Linked DNA regions of Drosophila melanogaster. The protein of the gene in region 1 interacts with the protein of each later gene in a pairwise test. Each region holds a gene or a part of one and is shown on either strand. Other genes may lie near its edges. The genes, in order: CG5823, sit, GABA-B-R1 and CG14000.

Region 1 (4,431 bases):
ATTTTCCTGGAAAACTATTAAAACGACTTTAAATCTATAAAATATTCCTACAAAGCGAATATATCGTATAAATATATATACTGGTTATAGATAGTTTTAAAAAAAAATCATAGTATTATTCTGTAGTTTTTACTTCAAAGACATAGATTGTTTTTACTTCAAAGACATAGATTGTGGTAACCACAATTCACTGTAACCATCGAACTTGGTCCGCAACGCCCACTTCCAGGAGTAATAAGCGTCATGTGTGTAATTTCGGCTTAAGATGGCCAACAATGTAAGCGGTTTAAATGTGTAACATTGTTGCCCAGCCAGGCATCAGTTTATTGGATTTGGCCGTACTTAGCTAGTGTGAGGAAAAATTATTGCCGACTGCCAGCGGACTTTGCTTCATACTTAAGCCGCTTAGCCAGCGAAAAGCCAACTACAAATTACAACTTATTATACAAGTTGAATCATCCAACATCCAAGCAATTTGTGGCGACTGAAAATGAAGATCCATTTAATAATCAAGAAACGCACACATATATTGGTTAATTTGTACACGAGCTCATATGTTGCCGGGCTTCTTTATTCATTTACAAACATATTTCTGGCATTATTCACGTTGCATTAAACTAGGCGTTAATAGTAATGAATACATAACAAAACAATTTTTAAATTTCACAAGTCGAGTTCTGAATTGTGTGTTCTTGTGTTTTCAAATTTTGCTGCCGATAATTTTCAGACTAAGTCAGCAATCGTGGGAATCGTGGGAATGGATGCCGGGGGTCTAGTGCGGTTGTTTTTGAATCAAGCGGGGTATGTAAATACTTCTCAAGCGGTATACAATCCACGAAGACTATTTTAAAGTAAACTAGATTAGATATGCACACGCATACGGATGTGTAACTATTTCTTTATATAAATATAGAGGCTGTGTCGGTAATTCTATTCCTGATTCAGGTTCTTGATCACGTAATTAACAATGAGGGCAAAAATTGCAAAGCAGATAATGATCACCAGGTTTGAATAGACGGACTGCCAGTTTAGATAGGAGTTCCGTGCACTATTCTGGACCGCCGCTCCTCCGCCGCTGGCCAAATCCGCCTGACCCGCCGCCCCGCCATCGATTGCGTCCGCTGCATTCAGTGGATTGGCCAAGCCGCCCACCGCCAGATTGCCATCCGCAGATGCCAGGCTCGCTCCGTTGGCCAGTCCGTTGGAACGCTTTACTCCATTGGCAGCGGGTCCGTCCACAGCAGCTGCCGCCTGTGTTCCTCGCAGCCGCTGCTTGATCTCTTCGACTATCTCCGGAAACAGCTCACAGAAGTTGGTGTTGCGCAGGTTAAATGCTAGTGATTTTTGAGCAAACATTTGCTTGTCATAGTTCGATGATTCGATGGATCCGAGTGTGGGTGTGCTCTCCAGCTGTGAAGGATTTAAGATTGGCTTACTCAAACGTATGATCATGTATTCGTAATAACTCACCATGAAGCTCAGCAGTCCAGTGAGAATGGTGCCTACGCACCAAGTCGGGTTCCAAGTGTCCGGATGAAAATCTGAAAATCCCAATAGGGTTGATAAGTTATATGTTTGGAACAATAGAATCTAAACAGATCTAAACAGATACACGAATATCTATTTGAAAGGTCGCAAAAAACATGTTTGACTAAGCCACAAAGTCCATCGGCTTCGTCAAACATAACTAAAACTATTCAGCGTTCAAAGTTAATGGTAGTCTTTAAGCCTGTAGTTACTACCCATTCTTTAATGTTCTACTACTGTGACAACCAATCCGCTTTATTTCTAGCTGTGGATTCGGACTCCTACGGATATGGAACTGACACATACCTGATATACTCAAACACAGTCTGGTGTTGGTCTTGAAGCGACCGTTCGGCGTCAGCATGTAGATGGATGGCGGCTTGAATGGGAACTCGCGCGGAAAGAGCAGGGTGCCGTGGTAGTAGCCGCCGTAGTAGGGCGAGTCCTCCGGCCCCTTGACGCAGTAGTGCCACTCGAGGATGTTGTTGGGCAGCGGCTCGGCGGTTATGTACGGCAGGGGATCCCGCTTGAGGCGCATATAGTCCTGCTTCATGCGCGACACAGCAGTGGGTTGCTTCCGGCCGCCGGACGTCGACGACGAGGACATGGTGTTGTTTTGGTTTTGCTAATTTTTAACGAACTTAATTACTACCGCCCAAGTTTGAAAACCTAAACTATGATCGAACACGACTGGCCTACTGGTTTTTCTCTCACTGTAGCAGATAAGATAGCGACGTGGCCCTGTGGAATAATTTGCAAATCAATTATACTCGTATCTGGTCGCATAAATACCAATACGTACCGTCCTTCTCCAGAATTTCGAAGCTGTCGAAGATTCTTGTTCGGTGTGTTTATCATGCGATGGATTTCAGTCTCGCCAGCTCGGTTGTTTATTGTTTGCTTTTCTAGTACTGGCAGCCAACCTCGGTAACAAGTGCGTTTTCTAATTGTTGTTGCTGCTGTTACTGCGTTTTTGTTGATTTTTTTTTAAATTGCAATGAAATTGAGTGAGAAAACAACGCACATATACAGGCGCACACGACCGACACCCGCACACACACACTCACACACGTGTAGGGGACAACTAGGGCTTGACTTTGGTAAATTTTGGTAGTATCACGAGCTTACTCCGCTACAGTGGATGCCCCTAATTCGTATTAATCACTTGTGGGGTTATATATCCGGGTTTGGAGCTGGCAATATCTTAATTTAATCTTTTATTTTGGCATGAAGAGTTTAGTGGTACCGTGTGCGGAAGTAAGTTTCATCTCCAGTTTAGTGTTACCAGAGTCTATGTTGGCTTCCTCACCACGTGGTGAAGGAGGGAAACTTTGCTGCATACGGTGAGAAAATTGGATGGAGTGGTGTATGTATCCGCTAATTAACTGACTCTCAAATCTGTGCAATTCTTTGAAAACAGTAAATATAGATCTTTTAGTTTTAGCCGATTTGCTGGACTATCAAATACCCGTTACTTAATGCGAGATATGATAAAAAGAAGAAAGAACTCTTTTCGAAAATTGCTTACTAGGCGGTATCTACTTTCCAACGTATCTAGTATACCCGGGTATGTCCCAAAATCCCTATGGCAATATTTTGTAATATACAAAGTAAATACTTTGGTTTTCTAATGTAGCCCTTTACAAATAAGCATGTGTATATCGCCTCTACTGTTATCACGCTCACATTGATAACGATTGTTATCTCTTAAAGTGCGGAATGTTTTTGAAACTTGGTAAGTAAGGATTGCCAAAGAGTACAGCTATATAGAAATTTATAGAAATGGAATCCAAAACACGAAAGTGGATCAACGCACGATTACAGGGATTACAGGGCATCGGCATCTCGCATTAATTTGGACTTCGTCACGCCGATTAATGGGTGAATGAGTTGCGGATGACAGTTGTTCTAAATGATAAGGAAATACAACGGCGGGCAAAATATTAGCAATCGCGGCACTTGAACTGTATTTTAAACTACATATTATATATAATCAATATTATCAATCAATATTATAATTGATTGTTATATAAGCTGAAATCATAATAACTTCACTTTAAATAATGGGTTGTAATTTATGATCTATTAAAAATTTGTCTCTATCTTAAGTGGATTTTAATGACTATTTTTATTCAAATATAATTCGATTGTAAAACAGCACTATTAATAGTTTAATGTTTTCTTTATTTACAATGTGTGAAAAGTTCTTAGTATTTATTATTATTTTGCCCCGCTGTCGATTGCCGAACCCACACATAGGAACCTCAATGATAAGCTCAGATCGCTGGGTGTGTTGTTCCCTCAACGCAGGGGATTGGGAGGGGGTTGGCCGGGCAAGATTTCTTATCAATCCTCGCGTCTGTTTTTGGTCAACGCCGGCGGCGGGCGCACAGTTGCCGTTCCACCAGCAGAAAGTTCAGTACTCACAGTCCGCGGACTTTTTAACCCATTAACTAATGTCGGCAATCGGAAAGATCGGATTCCTGGGAGGCGGGAATATGGCCAAGGCTTTGGCTAAGGGTTTCCTAGCGGCCGGTGAGAAAGCCACTAATAAAATAGATTTGTAGTCTGACATACTTTGTGCTAGACAATAGATAAGACACACTTGGATATGCAATATATATATGAACTAACATCATCTTATAATTAGATACAAAAGGATAGGACGTTAAGGATTTCATCATATAATCGCCAAATTTCCTAATTCATTTCCTAGGCCTGGCCAAACCCAATACCCTGATAGCCAGCGTCCATCCGGCAGATAAGCTCTCCCTGCAGTCCTTTCAATCCCTGGGAGTGGAAACAGTGATCAAGAATGCACCCGTTGTGCAGCAATCGGATGTGGTCTTCGTGTCCGTGAAACCCCAAGTGGTTCCCTCGGTTTTGTCGGAGATTCAGCCATTG
Region 2 (6,701 bases), 5.0 Mb from region 1:
GCTGGTCAATCGATTTGAGTTGGTTCCTTGAGCAAAGGTTACCTCGTGCGATTTATCTGAGGCTTACTGAGATCATGAATGGCTAGATTGGGATGCAAATGGGTGTGATTGCTCTTTGGGAGATACCCCAATGTTGTCGAAAAGACAAATATACCATTAAAGTGGCTTGAAACCATAAATACAAGTTGAATGAACACAAATGATTACAGGAAATGCTTGAATATGCAATGTTTTCAAGGCCAATTGCATTAATTCATTATTTCTTTAAATGAAAAGTAATTCATTTAAAAGTATAATATATTATTGCGTCAAAAGGAAAAAACTTTTAAATGTATTGAAAACAAGATCATTCAAACTATAAAGAAATAGTATGGGGTACATGATCCTGATAAAGTGATCTATTAATTAAAAATGTCAGACTTTTTTGACAAATATACGATACATAAAAACAGATTTATATGAAAAATTCCCATAAAAGCAAAGTTGAGATCTTTTTCAGTATATTGACACTAGGAGTGTCAGTTCTCACTTCCGTTAATTTCCCATTCATAAGATAAAGAATAAGGCTCATTGTTTTTTTACGATATTTTTGTAGAAAAAATTCTAGATTTATTTGTAAATTGTGTTTGTATTTATGGTTTCGTTATTAGCTAGTTTTTCACTTGTTTAATGCCTACTTTACATACCACACGTATATAAAATCTAAAGAAAACACATTCGCATGCGTACCTACACTTATTTACACAACTAACGCTTCTTCTGCCTGTTTACTTAACTTAGTTCAGTTTCAGTTTTGGCCGAAAGACATACGACTTCTTTCATTTGGGTCCGCCCGACACGATGGCGAACTTCAAACGGAGCGAGCGATGATGATGACGATGGCGGCAAAAAGCAATTTCAACTGTTTGAACATTTACATTTACATTTACATAATATGTGTATCTGTGTCTCGAAAACCTCATTTGCTCAAATATCTATTCGTCTCGTTTCTGATTTTCTTTTTTTTTTCGTGCTTCACGTCTATTTGGCGGCGGATTACTTAAGAAATTAGTCAACAAGGTTGCACATAGAACATGGGTGGCTCTCAGTGGGTGTTTCTACCCGCCCTTTTGTACGAGTATTGAAGGGGTTTTGTGTGTTGAGGGTGGTGTGTGTGGGTGGGTGGCGGTGGGTGTTTGTGCTCCTCCCTCTTACAAGGCCTTCTGCTTCTCCTGCTGCAGCTGAATTGCCTTGTTGAGGTCCTTGGCACATCCATCATTATTGTTATCCGCCGACAGAGCCTTCTCCTTGGCAGCAGCCTGCTTCTTCTTGTAGGACTTCTGGTAGAAGTCGTTGAACAGGAAGTAGAAGAACACCGCGTTGGGCAGGGTAAAGCACACCGACCACCTGGGATACCCACAATCCGTGTACAACAGCTGCGTCTGGTGGATGAAGGCGCAGCAGAACTGGATCTGTAAGAATAATCGTAAAATCGGGAGACCATTAAGAGCTATCGATAAGGAAGAATGAGGTGCTATCTATTTCTGAATCTATCTGTTTTGTACTTATACTAATCTAGATAATTTTAAAATGAAATGGTTGTAGAGCTCTAGTATCTCACAACAAAATAAAACTATATATCACTTTTAAGTGCAGCCCTAAAATCAAAGAATACATTTGAATATTTTCCACTTAAGTGCTTTCCTATTTAGTTCTAAGATGAAGTCATTAGCAAAGCAAGTAATAAACCTCTTATAACCCCTCAAATTGAAATACTACAGATATCTATGGATAGCGTATAAAGCGTTCTTACCATCTGCAGGTTGGTGATGTACTTCTTCCACCACAGATACTTCTGCATCTGGGGTCCGAAGGCGGAGAGGAAGTAGTAGGAGTACATGATAATGTGCACGAAGGAGTTGATCCAGCCAATGAAGGTGCCATGTCCGCCGGGATAGTACTTGCTGGTGCCCCAGCTGATCATGGGCATCACCGTGTGATGGTAGACATGCAGGAAGGTCACCTGTCGGTCATTCTTGCGCAGCACAAAGAAAATGGTGTCCAGCAGCTCGGTAATCTTGGCCAGATAGTAGACATAGACGACGCGCGCCTCACGATACGCCTTGGGTGTGCGGGACCAATCAACCGGCTGGCACCGCCAGCTGTAGTACTGCCAGATGACCACGCCCTCGTAGACCATCCAAACACTGAGGGCTACCTGGAAGAAATTGTAGACGAGCAGGGTGCGTTCCAGCTTGAAGGGTTTGCGATCCTTCATGAACTTGGGTCCCCAGGACAGCACGAAGAAGAGATAGAAGGCCAGGATGCCCAGCAGGGGCAGTGGCGACTTGATCAGGAACCAGTCATTGGTGCGGGGATCTGCGTGGGAATATCAGGGATTTGATCAGCATCTATATGCGGCACAGGTAGTTCCCCTCCCCATCCAACTCACCTGCCAGATCGGTGAACAGAAAATTCCAATAGTCCACCTGTGTTGCGTTGACGGCTGCCATTTTTAAATTCTCCTCGTTGGACTCTTGCTCCCACAAATACGATTATATAGCGACGATCGTTTCGATGTGAAATTCAAAAATCTGCTTAGCCTGCGTCGCAACGAACGAGTTTTGCGAAATCTAAATGGAATTGGGAAGATCGGAAGGGAGTCTGGATGAGGGAAAGATCTTTTCGAGTTTTCGTAGTTAAGTTATGTTAATGCGATTCTCGAGCAACTAATGCCAAAGCTATAGCTTCAGCTACAGCTTTTGCCATTGCTTTTGCTGTTGCTGTTGCCGAGCCCAGAAATCTAAATAAAATTAAAATAATAATCAAACGAAGGCGAAGGAGAATAGCAAATAGCAAATGTGTGACGGTGACGGTGAAATGCCGTGAAATTATCATGTAACAGTAACAGTAAATTATATTCATTATTATGAATTAAACAACCGCAGCGCACAACAGCCCGCAACAAATTGGTGGCCACCTCAAAACTTCAACTCCATATGGCCCATACCATGGTTGGTTGGTTGCCTCACGACCCGAGATACAAGACCCAAGTAAATTGGGCAGTGCCTCAGTGCCTCACGTGTGGAACGCATAAAACCCACTCGCACACCCAGCTAAATTATATTTGTGTTGTGCAGTTTGTTTGGTTTTGAGCTGTTGCTTGCCACTCTCTTACGGATCTCGGGGATCTTCTACAGAAGTCGTTTAGTCCAAAGTGGGACAGAGTGAAGTGGTACTCCCGGTGATTAATCATCGCCAAGAACTTGCTCCTCCAAAGGGGGCATTTGAGAACCATCGAGCTATCAAGCACCCATGCTAAATTCCAAGCATTCACGTTCGTTGACTTGAAGTCGACTCACACTTGAACTTGGCTAAGGCCGATTAAGACCACAAAATAATCGAATAGCATTATGATTTCTTGCGTCGTTTTCGAGGCTATTCTGATCGGCTTCTTGGTCTGCGAAGTGAGGAACAAATTGAAATAAAAAAAAAAACGACTGAGGAGATATTTTGAAGGGCAACTTGGCCAACACTCCAGTCGGCTATCAGCAGCCATCAACAGGTTTGGCTTCAGCTCTCCGGTCATTTCCTGCACTTCAGGTGTTATGGCTCCGTTTGAATATTACCTGCAACAGTTAGCGCAGAATGGGGCCAGAAAATCTTGAGGGGGAAGGCGACAAATGGCAGTCATAAGCCAAAAGGTGCTAAACACTTTTGTTGGCCGCACAAAATACTGGCCAAGAAAATCCAGTTTATCAATTTTCAGTTGGAATTACGACCTTGCCATGCGTTTCTTGCTCTTTTTTATTTTGTGTGTGTTCGGGAATGGGTGGGAATTATGATCTAAGCCATAAGATGTCGCATCATTTGGACGCCGTCGTGTCTGGCTGATCATCGCCAGCCAATTTGAGGGTATTTCCACTTGGTTAGTCATTTGGTAAATGTCCGGAGATGTGGGAAACCTTGGAAGCACCTAGAGCGAGCAAATAGAAAATTGTGTCACCTATTGCCCAATTTGGACGACGGCGGTTTTGTTTTTGCCAAAATCAAATATGTGTCGCATTGGTTTAATGACCTTGACAGGTGGAGATCGCTAAACTCCTCATATGGCACTTGTTCTATGCAAAAAAAAAAAGTTTGCTGATCTAAGCTAAATATTAGGCATGGAAGTGAAAGATACAAAATATGAAGTATCATCTACTTGTGCTTCTAAGCAAATTTTAGAAAGATGTAAACACAAGCGTATCCTTGCTCATCTTTACTAGCCTTTTAAGTGTTGAAATACTTTGTTGATTTTTAAGGATATGTACCCTAACTATTGAAATGCACAAACTTTATAAACCTTTCCTTGTCAGCTGATCTGTCGATTGAATAGCTACAGAACTTCACTTTCAGGGACCTCTACCAGCGTATCAATCCAGTCTAAGCCACGAATTCTATAACTGCTCGCCTCCAACGATTGATCTGATTGATCACTCAGATATATCTACACACACACACTGGCACACACAGATGAAGCGGTTTGTTGGGCACCTGTTGCAATCTCTTCGATTGCCGTGCACTTAATTTTGAGCGACGACAACTTAATGTTAGCACCGTGACAACTGTTTTTTAGTCTTGTTCCATCTTTAGTCTTGCTCAAATGAGGCTGATATGAGGCACTATGTGGTGTGGTGTGGTATAGTATAGTTTAGTATGGTATATTATTGTATAGTGGGGAGATACCTTTGCTGGCATCCGCTACCCACGAGACTTGTACGCGCACTGAACTGCTCCGCCGAGTTGTACGGCGCTATGTATAAAAATTTCGACTAAAGGTTCGATTTGGCACTGCTGTTTCTTCGTCTCTGCCTTCCGATTTGTTTTTGTATCTGTATCTGTTTCTGTATCTGTATTCAGTTCATCTTCAGTTCGGCGTTTAGATTCAGCTTTAGTTTTTGTTTAGCCGAACTTTTGTCTCGGCTATTTGGCATCTTGCTCATCCTCATCTTTGACTTTAGCTTTAGCTTTAAGATGTTCTTTTGTGCCTCGTGGATTCCAAACGCTATATGCTATATGCTACATACACAAAATGTATCGAATGGTCTCGTATGGTCTCGTTTTTCTATGATAATTGCGATAACAATGTTGGTGTTGTGTGTGCGTGTTGCCGGCTTTTTGTTGCTGTTGTTGGCCAAAATCGTCTGGCTTTTAATTCGTTTTGTATTTGGTTGTGCAGCCTTTTGTACAATTAAAAGAATCATAAAATATTCTTGAATAGTTGTCACTTTTGATCGATTTGGTCAAAGCGATTGCGGTAGAACTTAGAGGATAGCGAATTTATGGCATTGAGCGTGCTTCCAGAAATTTGAATAACAAGACCTAATAAACAGAAAATTCATTTAAACATTTGCAAAGTAAAATGTTTTTATTTTAGAAAACACAGCCAATCCCAGCGGACAACTCTGATTAGTTTGCTAATAACAAACAGAAACTAACATTCTATCAAATGAGAATATATTCTACATATACGTATGTGTACCCTAATGATACTTTCATTTTCTCTCAATTAATAGCTTTTTAAACAACATTCAGTCATTATAGAGTATTATTTATCCATTCCCTTAGGCTCTTTCATCATTAGCCAGAATATGACAACAAACCCTAGAAATAGTCTCAAATCGCCTCAGAATGAAATGTTCATTCTATTTTGTTTTCGGTTTCTGGTAATTCTCCCTTTTTTTATATCTTCATCCAAATTCGCTTTCGTAACCTTGACCCACTTGAAATACTTATTCACGCTTTAACTCCAGTATGAACTTTAGAACCTAACCCAACTGAACTGAACTGAAACTGCGTAGGTGGTTTATAATTTCGTTGACCTTTTTTTTTGGCGAATCAGCGAAATTCCCTAGACTGTTTTACAAGCAATTTGAAAACTATTTAAAACAAGCCTAAAACATTGCTATTATCGGCATAAAGCGGAAAGGTTTACAGCCAGAAGTATTTCGTTAAAAGTGTTTGTAAAGTTTATTCAAGGAAACGGCGCATTTACCTGGCAATTTACATACAAATTCTTTGGGCCCAGGGCTCGGAATCAGATTCGGAATCGGATTCTAACGACCCACAATGATCGCAGCGCATCGATTAAGGCCCACTTCCGGGTCAAGTTAATGAAACCAAACCGATAGCAACTATTTTGGCCAAGACTTCGAACTTCGATGTCTGAGAAAAAAAAAAACAGAGGCTGAGGCTGGGGTCACCGAAATGTTAACTGTGTCACCGGCGAATTGAACTTGAACTTGCCGATTAGCTTATGCCAACCAGTTCGAGTTCGAATCCGAGTGGACTGCATAAGATGTGGGTGAATGTCGACCGGGCGTATGGTTGATCGGGTGAATCCCTTCGTTGGCCAGGAATCAATCATACGCCGTGTGCGCCTCAGCCAGTGACAAATTCTTCCGGTGTTTCGGATTTCATTTGCATTCGTCTTTTGTTTGGCCACCAGCCATCAAGCGGATCATAATCGTATGCAAAAGACGTTAGTTTATTATCGCTGTCGCTGCAGACGATTCATGCGATCGAGTTCGATATATATGTATGTATGTATGTATGTATATATAAATGTATCTGAGGGGTTGCTGCCAGTTATGCAAATATCTTCCGCAAACATTTACATTTAGCCAACAGTCAAACTGGCGAACAAACCGTTAAACAATTATTATTGAATTTGTTTGTAT
Region 3 (4,840 bases), on another chromosome or scaffold:
TTTGTTTCAATTGAGATTTGTCGAAACAAATAAATAAATAAGCAGTTTGTATTTTATTTGCTCTTGTTCTTCTTTGTTTTTGTTGTTGGTTGTTGCTGTTCAATTTCTTCTTTTTGTTCAGGGCAAGGGCATTTTGCGCTTCGGCGCCTGAGTTTTATGGCTTTTACCCGCCACGCCCCCGCCCCTTCATCTGTCCGCATCCCCTTTGGCAATGTTCTAAACTCCTGCCAGCAATATTTTTCTATAAAAAAAAAAAAACAGAATAGAACTTTTATGTGGGAGAAGCCTTTTTATCTCTATGTCCTGCGTGTGCGAGGTACTCACATACACACCGATACGTAAAACCATATAGGGCAAAAAAAAAATATAACTTAAAGTATGAATTGTATTATATATTTTACCGTCAGCACGTTTCATAATTTATTACGGTACTAAAATATTTAATTTAAGAGTGCCTTCTCGGTTGTTCTAGACATAATATATCATATTAAAGAGTGGTCTTGATTGAAATCTGCTTGTAAGTGAATATAAAATAGATGGCACATTTTGAAGGCTTTTATAGTTATAAAACCTTAAATCTTAATTAAACAAAGCATAGTTCCCTTTGAAATATATCTTAATTCTGAACATATTTGTATTTAAAATTGATAGAAAACTTAAATGTTTGCACTAACACAAATATATACTGATGCTAATTTGCCAGGATTTATTGATTTAGTGTTTCCTTTCAGTTTCCTTCATAATTAGCCTATTAATCAACTGAACTAACAGTGCGTATACGTATTTTGAGGATTGATTGCTCGACTTTAGTGGGTGATGAATGCGATGCAAGTCAGAAATCAACTAAAGTTTTTTTGTGTTTGAGGATGTAAAAAATACAAAGCCATAATGTGGCGATGCCATTACCGGTTATTTGTGTTGGTTGGATGATGAATGACAGTTTTTCATGCACAAATACGGCGTCTTTTTTAGCATAAAACCTTTTTACAGTGTTTGCATACGAGCCGCGTGTGTTATTGAATGGAAATGCTGTCGGTTTAGCACAAACATGCATACATATATGTATGTATGTACATCGCCGCAGCGTCACTCCAAATTTGTTTGCCAGTTAATCGCACTGAGGCGCGTTAATCATGGCGGTGTGTTAAGGACGAATAAAAGGTGGTGGTGCTGTGGATAATTTTGGTGGCTACGGGGTGGCTCACTTAACTAAGGTGTGGTTGCAGATTTGGCGAGTTGACACCTTTGACGTAGAGTTGCCGCTGAAGAGGCGCTGATGAGAGGGGATGGTCGTCAAGGGGCTAACTTCCTAGTGACCTAGTTTACAAACCTTCGCACACATACACACACACAGACTTTAAACATTAATTACGTCGGGAATTCTGCACAAATGCGACAAATGCTTCACTTCACTTCACTGCCTTCCCACCTGCTCTCTTCATACCTACACAGAACAAAAAGGAGTGATCGTAGATGATGATCGGTTTACTCTTCTCAAAAGCAATATAAAAAAGATATAGATTTCAGATTCTATGAAAGATCTATGCATCTTGTCGGCGAAAAAACAAAAATATATCAAATTTGTATTGAAAAATAATTTTAACAATTTAATTTGAGTTAGAAAGAGTTTTGTGGTACGATCATTGTAATGACCATCAATCCGGGATATCATTTTAACTATTATTTTCCTGTACTACAACCAATAAATATCATATATCATTCTTTCCTTTCTTTCTTTTATTTGTACTTCTCAAATCATTTTGATTTCACTTGGCTTAAAACATACATATATTTCCACTGACCATTCATCACTTGTCCATCTCCTAGAATCTTTGAACCATGAGGGTTTAATTTTTTTTAACATCCCTGGGAATTAGCTGCTCACATTTTTGCAAGTGTATTCTCTCCGCCTCTCTTCGCGGCACTCTACACCTTTCTATTGCCATCTCGCTCACTTTACACTTCACTTACTTTGCGTATTGCCGTTTAAAAATGCGATGTTGCGGTTGTTGTTGTTGTTGTTTCCTGCTTTGCTACTACTGCTTCCTCTTCTTCTCGGCCTCCGTTTTATCCTTTGCCGATGTTTTTGTCTCTGTCTTTGTCTGCTCCTTTGCTCCTTTGGCCGGTGCTTCAATTGTTTCATAAGACGCTTCTTCTTTTTCGCTGCTCCTTTTGCTTGGGCAGGGTCGTAGGGGGTGTTGGATGGAGGGGGTGCTGCCAAAGGGGGTCAGGGGCCAAATCAGTGTTTGTTGTTGATTTGGTTGTTGTTGTTGTTGTTATTGTTGCTATTATCGCTGTCGCGGCGGCGTTGTTCAAACATAATTTGATGACTGCGCATTACAATCGATAATCCCATGCACAAATGCAGCTCAGCACATCGGCATTGCCTTAAATCCATTTTAATGAGAACGGATCCCGATAATTCCGTAATCCCCAAATGATGGCAATTCCTTTGCAGGTCCTGCTGTCACTGCCTTTTTTTGCTGTGCTCTCTCCTCCCTTTTCTTTTTTATTTTTTATATATGTTTGTTGCACTTTCACAAATAATTCGAGAAAAAACTGAGATGTGAGGGGCGTGAGCTTTTTTTTTGTCAACTTTGTTTGAGTTTGCGGTGTGTTCTGTGTAACTGTGCTATATGCTATATGCTATGTATATTACTTTGTACAACTTTTCTACATTACTATATCAGATTTACGTTGAATTCCTTATCAAACTAGTAAGCTTCTGACTATGAGGGGCATGAATTATTAATGTATTCGTTTTATTTCACTTGCTTTCTAGCTGTAACACACTTCACTTTATCAATTCCCGCACCGTAATTCCATTTAACGCGTATTTCTTTTTGCAGGTATTCAGTTCTGCGGGAGTTATATCTTATGCACAGAGTGGTGTTTTCGCTCCTGCTCCTTATTTGTCTATTTTTTGTACAGACTTTTTCGCATTGTATTCGGGGGATGAGACGCGAGAGGCTCCTGCTGTGTTCGTTGTGTTCCACATGTATCCGACGACTGGAACTCCATGACTGACATTTACGTTTTCGCCTCGCCAGGACGAAAGCTTAGAGCACGAGAGCTTTTCGGTGGGAAAGCTCGTGCTTCCGCTTTTCCACTTTTCCAGTTGCCAAGTCAAGTCGGGTTTTTTGAAGTTTCGCTTTTTCAGTTTGCTGGCCAAGTCGAAAGTCGCGAAACTCTCCGGGCAATTACGTTTACTTTGTGGGTGGGTGTAGCGGGGTGTAGGTGGGTGGTAGTTGGACGGTAATTGGGGGTTGGGCGCAAGGACGAGGGCGGGCTTAAGGACACCGGTTTTATAGAGTTGTCAAATGGCCCCAGGAATGGCCAGTCAAAACATCAAAATTCACTCGCAATTGGCCAAGGGCAATGCGAAAAACCAACAACAAGGAGCAAGTGCCACTAGGCCAACCGGGAAACAGGATGGGGGCATTGTTTTGAAAGCGAAAGGCCATAATGCTTGCACGCCACAATCCCGAGCCGCAGTCAAAGCCAAAGTTGAGTTTCATTTTTGGGGTCGCGTCGCCTCATCGAGCCAAACATGCAAACACGCACGGGCCAAAGCCAAAGCCGAAGCCCAAGGAAGGCAAGGTGAGGTCCTTGTCATTTAACTCACTTGTCGAGTTGACCTTTGTTCGCTTGGTTGCCGTGCTCCACCATAGAGCTAATGCCCAACTGCCACGCCTTGAGCTTGATCCATAGCAACTTGTACTTTTGTGTCCCCTCGCAAAACCCCCCCCCAAACCGCTCGACAAAAAAAGGGGAAACCCTGAAATATACAGCTAACCCCCCTTCACCAAACACACTTGGCTCTAAATACAAACTTGCCCCCCCCTGCTGATGGCCATGTGCATGTTTGATGAGCTTATCAAGGCTCCGGGATTATTGAATATTTTCAAATCGATATAGCCGTGCCAGCCACACCGTTAGTTGGCACCTTAATTGCCAACTGAATAAATCATTGACAATTTTGCAATTAGTTCGAGAACCTCAACTGTCCGCTCAAGTCGAAGGATTCTGCGGTCAAAAATAAACCATTTGCATTGGCCCAAAAGTAGTCAAGCCAAGAAATTGGAAGTTTTCCCATCGTCGACTTGGGAAATCAATTACTCAAATATTTATGTCCGCATGTGGAATTCGGGTATGCTGAAATGCACTTGTCTTGAACTCTGCCAGTGAATAAATGGCAATCGAAATTGCTGAGCGGATTAAATAACTTTCAGATGTGTGAATACGAGGGCATGGGTTATGGCCTATATTTGCACTGCCGTATAGGTTACAGAACGCACTTATTGTTTAGATATTTGAATTGATTTCATAGACAGTTAGAGCAGAAACGGCACTAATTAAACCAAATCCACTCAAGAGCAAATTGGTAAACAGCAGTTTGAAAATTAACATTGCGCAATTGTTATGCATTGATAAATTGATGATTTATTTATGAATTTTCTGTATTCCAATGTTATTTTGGCATAGGCCAGCTATTATTTTGAACTCTGATTTTGATTTCTAGTTCACTCTAAATTCACGTTTTAATTACATAAAATTATAAATGTTTTCAGTGAAATATTTAGCGAATTTGCTTTGAATAGAACGTTTATTTTATGTTATGGTAATCTCCTAAAACTATTCAATAAAATGAAAGTTATTATTGAATGGGCGATTTAAAACATTTGCAGGCACAGCTGCAATCAGCAATCAACATGAAATAGTGTGATAATGTTAATTGAAAAGATTGTGGCTTGTTATGGATTTCCATGAAAAGAGAAAAAATGCATAATGTTTTATTGTAAATATATAAATATATTCTGTTAAAATGAAATTATAAGTT
Region 4 (3,670 bases), on another chromosome or scaffold:
ACAGTTCACCAGGGAGCAGCAGAACGGATGCTGGTGCACCGACCGCTGCAAATGGACGGAATGCGGAGGAGGCGCTGATGGACGCCCGCGTCCAAGTGAGCCTCACCACGCTAAAGAAGCTATTCAACGAATACACTCATCCGCGGGAGCCGCTGAGCGAACAGGAGCGCGATGACAAGCTCTACGAGATGCTGCCCCTCTTCTGCAAAGTGAGTGAATCAGTCGGTATGGAGGAATAGGCCACTAACTCCCCATTCTTACAGGTCTTCAGCAGCTGTCCGTCAAACGACATGAGCGAAAAGTTCTGGGACGTGGTCGCCTTCTGCCAGCAAGTGTCCCGTCTCATGGTCAGCGAAATCCGCAAGCGCGCCTCCAACCAGAGCACAGAGGCGGCATCCATTGCCATAGTCAAGTTTCTCGAGGTGGAAACCACCGAGGAAACCAGCAGCGGATGGATGCTTTTGGCTACCCTCAATTTGTTGGCCAATGGAGACGTATCTCTCATACAGGTATGTTTCATTTATAAACTGCTATAGTATCTTATGGTAAAAATACATCGACGTAATCAAAACAAAAAATTTCAATAGCTACAATTTTCGTTAGGGAAAGTCGTCATCAAATTCACGAAGTTTTCTCAGTTCCAGGCTTCAAAGAGAATTCGATGTGTGAGTTCGTAGCTTCTTCATTTGTAATATTTGGGTTGGCTGCATCTGGAACTTGTTGTTCCTTTTCTCCCGCATCGCTTGGCTTATGGACCAATTCAGCATTGCTTAAAGTTCTGAGCCGAGAATAGCTAGAGCCCTGTTCTACCAGCAAAATCTCCGATTTCTCCCTTTTCTCAGTGTCCGCCCACATGGAAGATCGCCGGGCTAGCTTCCGATCCATTTGAATGGGTTTCATTGTGGCCTCGCTGTTCTCACTTGACCGAGTTGAAACAAGGCTAACAGTGCTCCTGTCCTCGATTTTGGCCCACAAGCTCGAGGAATCGCTGGAGCCGCGCCAGGCTGAAGCAGACCTGCGCATCTTATTGGCCTGCTCTTCCATGTACACACTGTACTCCGTGTCCACCGGTGTGATATCCGATTCACTGGTGGTTATTGTTGGCGTTGATAGAAAACTCTCGTCACTCTCGATCTGATGCAGCGAAAAGAACTTTTTACGCGCATCCCCAATGAACTGCCACATGCGGACTATAAAGTGCGGCTGCTCCACCTCCGCGTTCGGCCGGAAGTACAGGATCTGAGAATTGGCCAACTTATAGTAGCACCTGCAGCATTTGCATAGAAAGTCGTCCACTGGCTTGGAAAGCACAAATAGCCCGGTTGAACCAGACTCTGTTCCCTCAAAGTACTTACGGCCAGTCGCCTGACGTTTCCAGTCGCCGGGTTCCATGCGCATCAGCAGGTCGAACACGTGGAACATGTGCATCAGGTACATGGTGCCAGTAACCAGCGCAGCGATGCTCTGCTGCTTGCAGTGCGCAAAGTGCGGATGTTCCAGATACTCGATGGTAGAATTGATGAAGGCCAGGTGAGGGTCCAGCATGGCGGTGCGCATTATCAGCACGCCGCAGAAATAGTGCGACAGCACGGCACTCAGTGTGAGCAGGAGCTGGGAGGAGAGCACCGTACTCCTAGCCAATAGCAGTCGGAACGCGCCTAGAGCGGCGAGCGCCGTAAAGGACGAAAATGTGGCACAATATAGGATCACATGAGGAGTACGCTCTGGCCAGTAGGATGAGCCGCGTATGTGGAAAAACATACAAACACTGCCCAGCAACACCTCGATGAGTTTAAAAAACACCCAAACCTGGTTCATTTCACAGACGTATTCTAGTTTAAAATGGTTTAGATTTAGTTTTGGCAACAGATGAAAAAGGTTCTGCGGGAAAAGTTGTATCTCAAAATACAAAACACCGCCGGGGCTGCGGGCTTAAATTAAGATGTTAAATCTAAACTAACTAAGCAATTCTAATATTGCTGCATTTCAGGTCATGACTGCTGCGGCGGTTCCCTCTACTTTAGTGAAGTGCTTGTACTTGTTCTTCGACCTGCCCATAGTTGAGGACGATGAGCCTTCAGCTGACGGTGGAGCAGTAAGTGAGTTTAATGCCCATGAAAGGCGGACGCTTCTGCAGAAGGTGTTTGTGCAGCTGCTGGTCAAGCTGTGCTCGTATCCGTATCCCGCTGAGGAACTAGCTCGCATGGACGACTTGACGCTGCTATTCTCGGCCATCACATCGCCATGTCCCATCCACAATATTGTATGGCGCAAGAACGCAGCTGAAATCCTGACCACAATATCAAGGAATGGCCTAACCGATGCCGTAGTTAGCTATATACATTGTAAGTATGGTGGACTTAATCATTATGACTAAATATTCTTAAAATGTTTCTTAATTTAGCCAAGGGCTGCATGGCACTTTGCGTGGACAATATGCAGCGCCTGACGTTTGGAAATCCTTTGGAGATCGTTGAAATGTTCGTCACCGTGTTCTGCTTTCTCAAGGACTCCAGTCAGGTATCCCAGATTTTGATGGATGATTTTCGTGCATCTCAAGGTTACGTGTTTCTCAGTGATTTTCTACTCAAGTAAGTACAATAGTTCTTTTTTTAAGCACTTCTTAATATTCATATTAATTTTTAGGTTTGACAACAATCGTAGCCAATCATTGGAGATTCAAGCGGCCATTCGAAATCTGGTACTGATGATCTCTTCGTTGTGCATGTGTGGCTTTTACGAGCTTCGACCGCCAGCCTCGCAGTTTAATACGGCTTTCAAACTGCAGAACTTCCAGCTCCCACAGGCCACCTCACGAGAGACATGCGTGCGAAATGTGTACGCCTTCCAGGTGCTGCAGAACGTGTTCCTTAAGTCAACGACGCCTGCGCTCTGCTGCACAATACTGGACGCCATTTCGCGGGTGTACCACTCGGAAAATGCCAACTACTTTATCCTGGAATCGGAGCAAACGCTTAGTTCGTTCGCAGAGCGGATACACATGAAAAGCCCGCAAATACAAGAAAAATTCTACGATCTGCTGGAGTTCATTGTCTTCCAACTGAACTTCGTGCCGTGCAAGGAGCTGATCAGCCTTTCGCTATTGCTCAAGCACAACCAGTCGACGTCCTGCAGCATTCTTTGCTTGAAGACACTGTTAAACATTCTCCGGCACAACGCTGTATTTAAAGATGTCTACCGCGAAGTGGGGATTCTGGAGATCTTTGTTGGCTGTCTAACACGCTATGCAGCTCATGTGCAGAAAATAACCAAGGGAGATGAGTCAGTGGTGGTGGAGCTGGAAAATGAATCCGAAGAAGAACTGTTCGACACACTAGGAAAGCATGTTCTGGAGGCCCTCACCATGCTGCTGGGAGGTGGTGCCAGCAACAATGCCCAACTATTTCGTGAGTACGGTGGCGCCAAGTGCGTCCATGAGTTGGTGAAGTTCAAGCACTGCCGACCGCAGGCTCTCGGAATCGTAAGGGAGCTAATCCTGTCCGCAGGTGGAGACGACGACATGCTGCACATACTCTCACTGATGCACAGCGTCAGCCCACTACAAGTGGAGTTTAAGATTCAGATACTAAACATGTTGCTCGGCTGCCTAAAGGACTCTCATCGCACACGGACCGTATTCCGCAAAGTGGGCGGATTCGTTTACGTGACC

What was found.
Region 2: the proteins of CG5823 (region 1) and sit interact in a two-hybrid assay, tested with the Drosophila melanogaster proteins (one large-scale study listed by BioGRID).
Region 3: the proteins of CG5823 (region 1) and GABA-B-R1 interact in a two-hybrid assay, tested with the Drosophila melanogaster proteins (one large-scale study listed by BioGRID).
Region 4: the proteins of CG5823 (region 1) and CG14000 interact in a two-hybrid assay, tested with the Drosophila melanogaster proteins (one large-scale study listed by BioGRID).

Annotation. Positions count from the first base shown.
Region 1 is NT_033777.3:17,531,790-17,536,220, forward strand, and holds CG5823 (uncharacterized protein), read right to left. Parts: upstream 2,799-4,431; 5' UTR 2,330-2,798; intron 2,269-2,329; 5' UTR 2,135-2,268; coding exon 1,834-2,134; intron 1,542-1,833; coding exon 1,471-1,541; intron 1,411-1,470; coding exon 931-1,410; 3' UTR 536-930; downstream 1-535. Other genes in the region: P5cr-2 (Pyrroline-5-carboxylate reductase-like 2), read left to right, coding at 3,984-4,062, 4,244-4,431.
Region 2 is NT_033777.3:22,557,818-22,564,518, forward strand, and holds sit (stuck in traffic), read right to left. Parts: upstream 4,756-6,701; 5' UTR 4,708-4,755; intron 2,613-4,707; 5' UTR 2,493-2,612; coding exon 2,432-2,492; intron 2,359-2,431; coding exon 1,793-2,358; intron 1,452-1,792; coding exon 1,191-1,451; 3' UTR 525-1,190; downstream 1-524.
Region 3 is NT_033779.5:15,014,528-15,019,367, reverse strand, and holds the start of GABA-B-R1 (metabotropic GABA-B receptor subtype 1), read right to left. Parts: upstream 3,038-4,840; 5' UTR 1,972-3,037; intron 1-1,971.
Region 4 is NT_033779.5:5,908,427-5,912,096, forward strand, and holds CG14000 (uncharacterized protein), read right to left. Parts: upstream 1,864-3,670; 5' UTR 1,819-1,863; coding exon 622-1,818; 3' UTR 510-621; downstream 1-509. Other genes in the region: bchs (blue cheese), read left to right, coding at 1-209, 264-509, 1,991-2,345, 2,405-2,591, 2,647-3,670.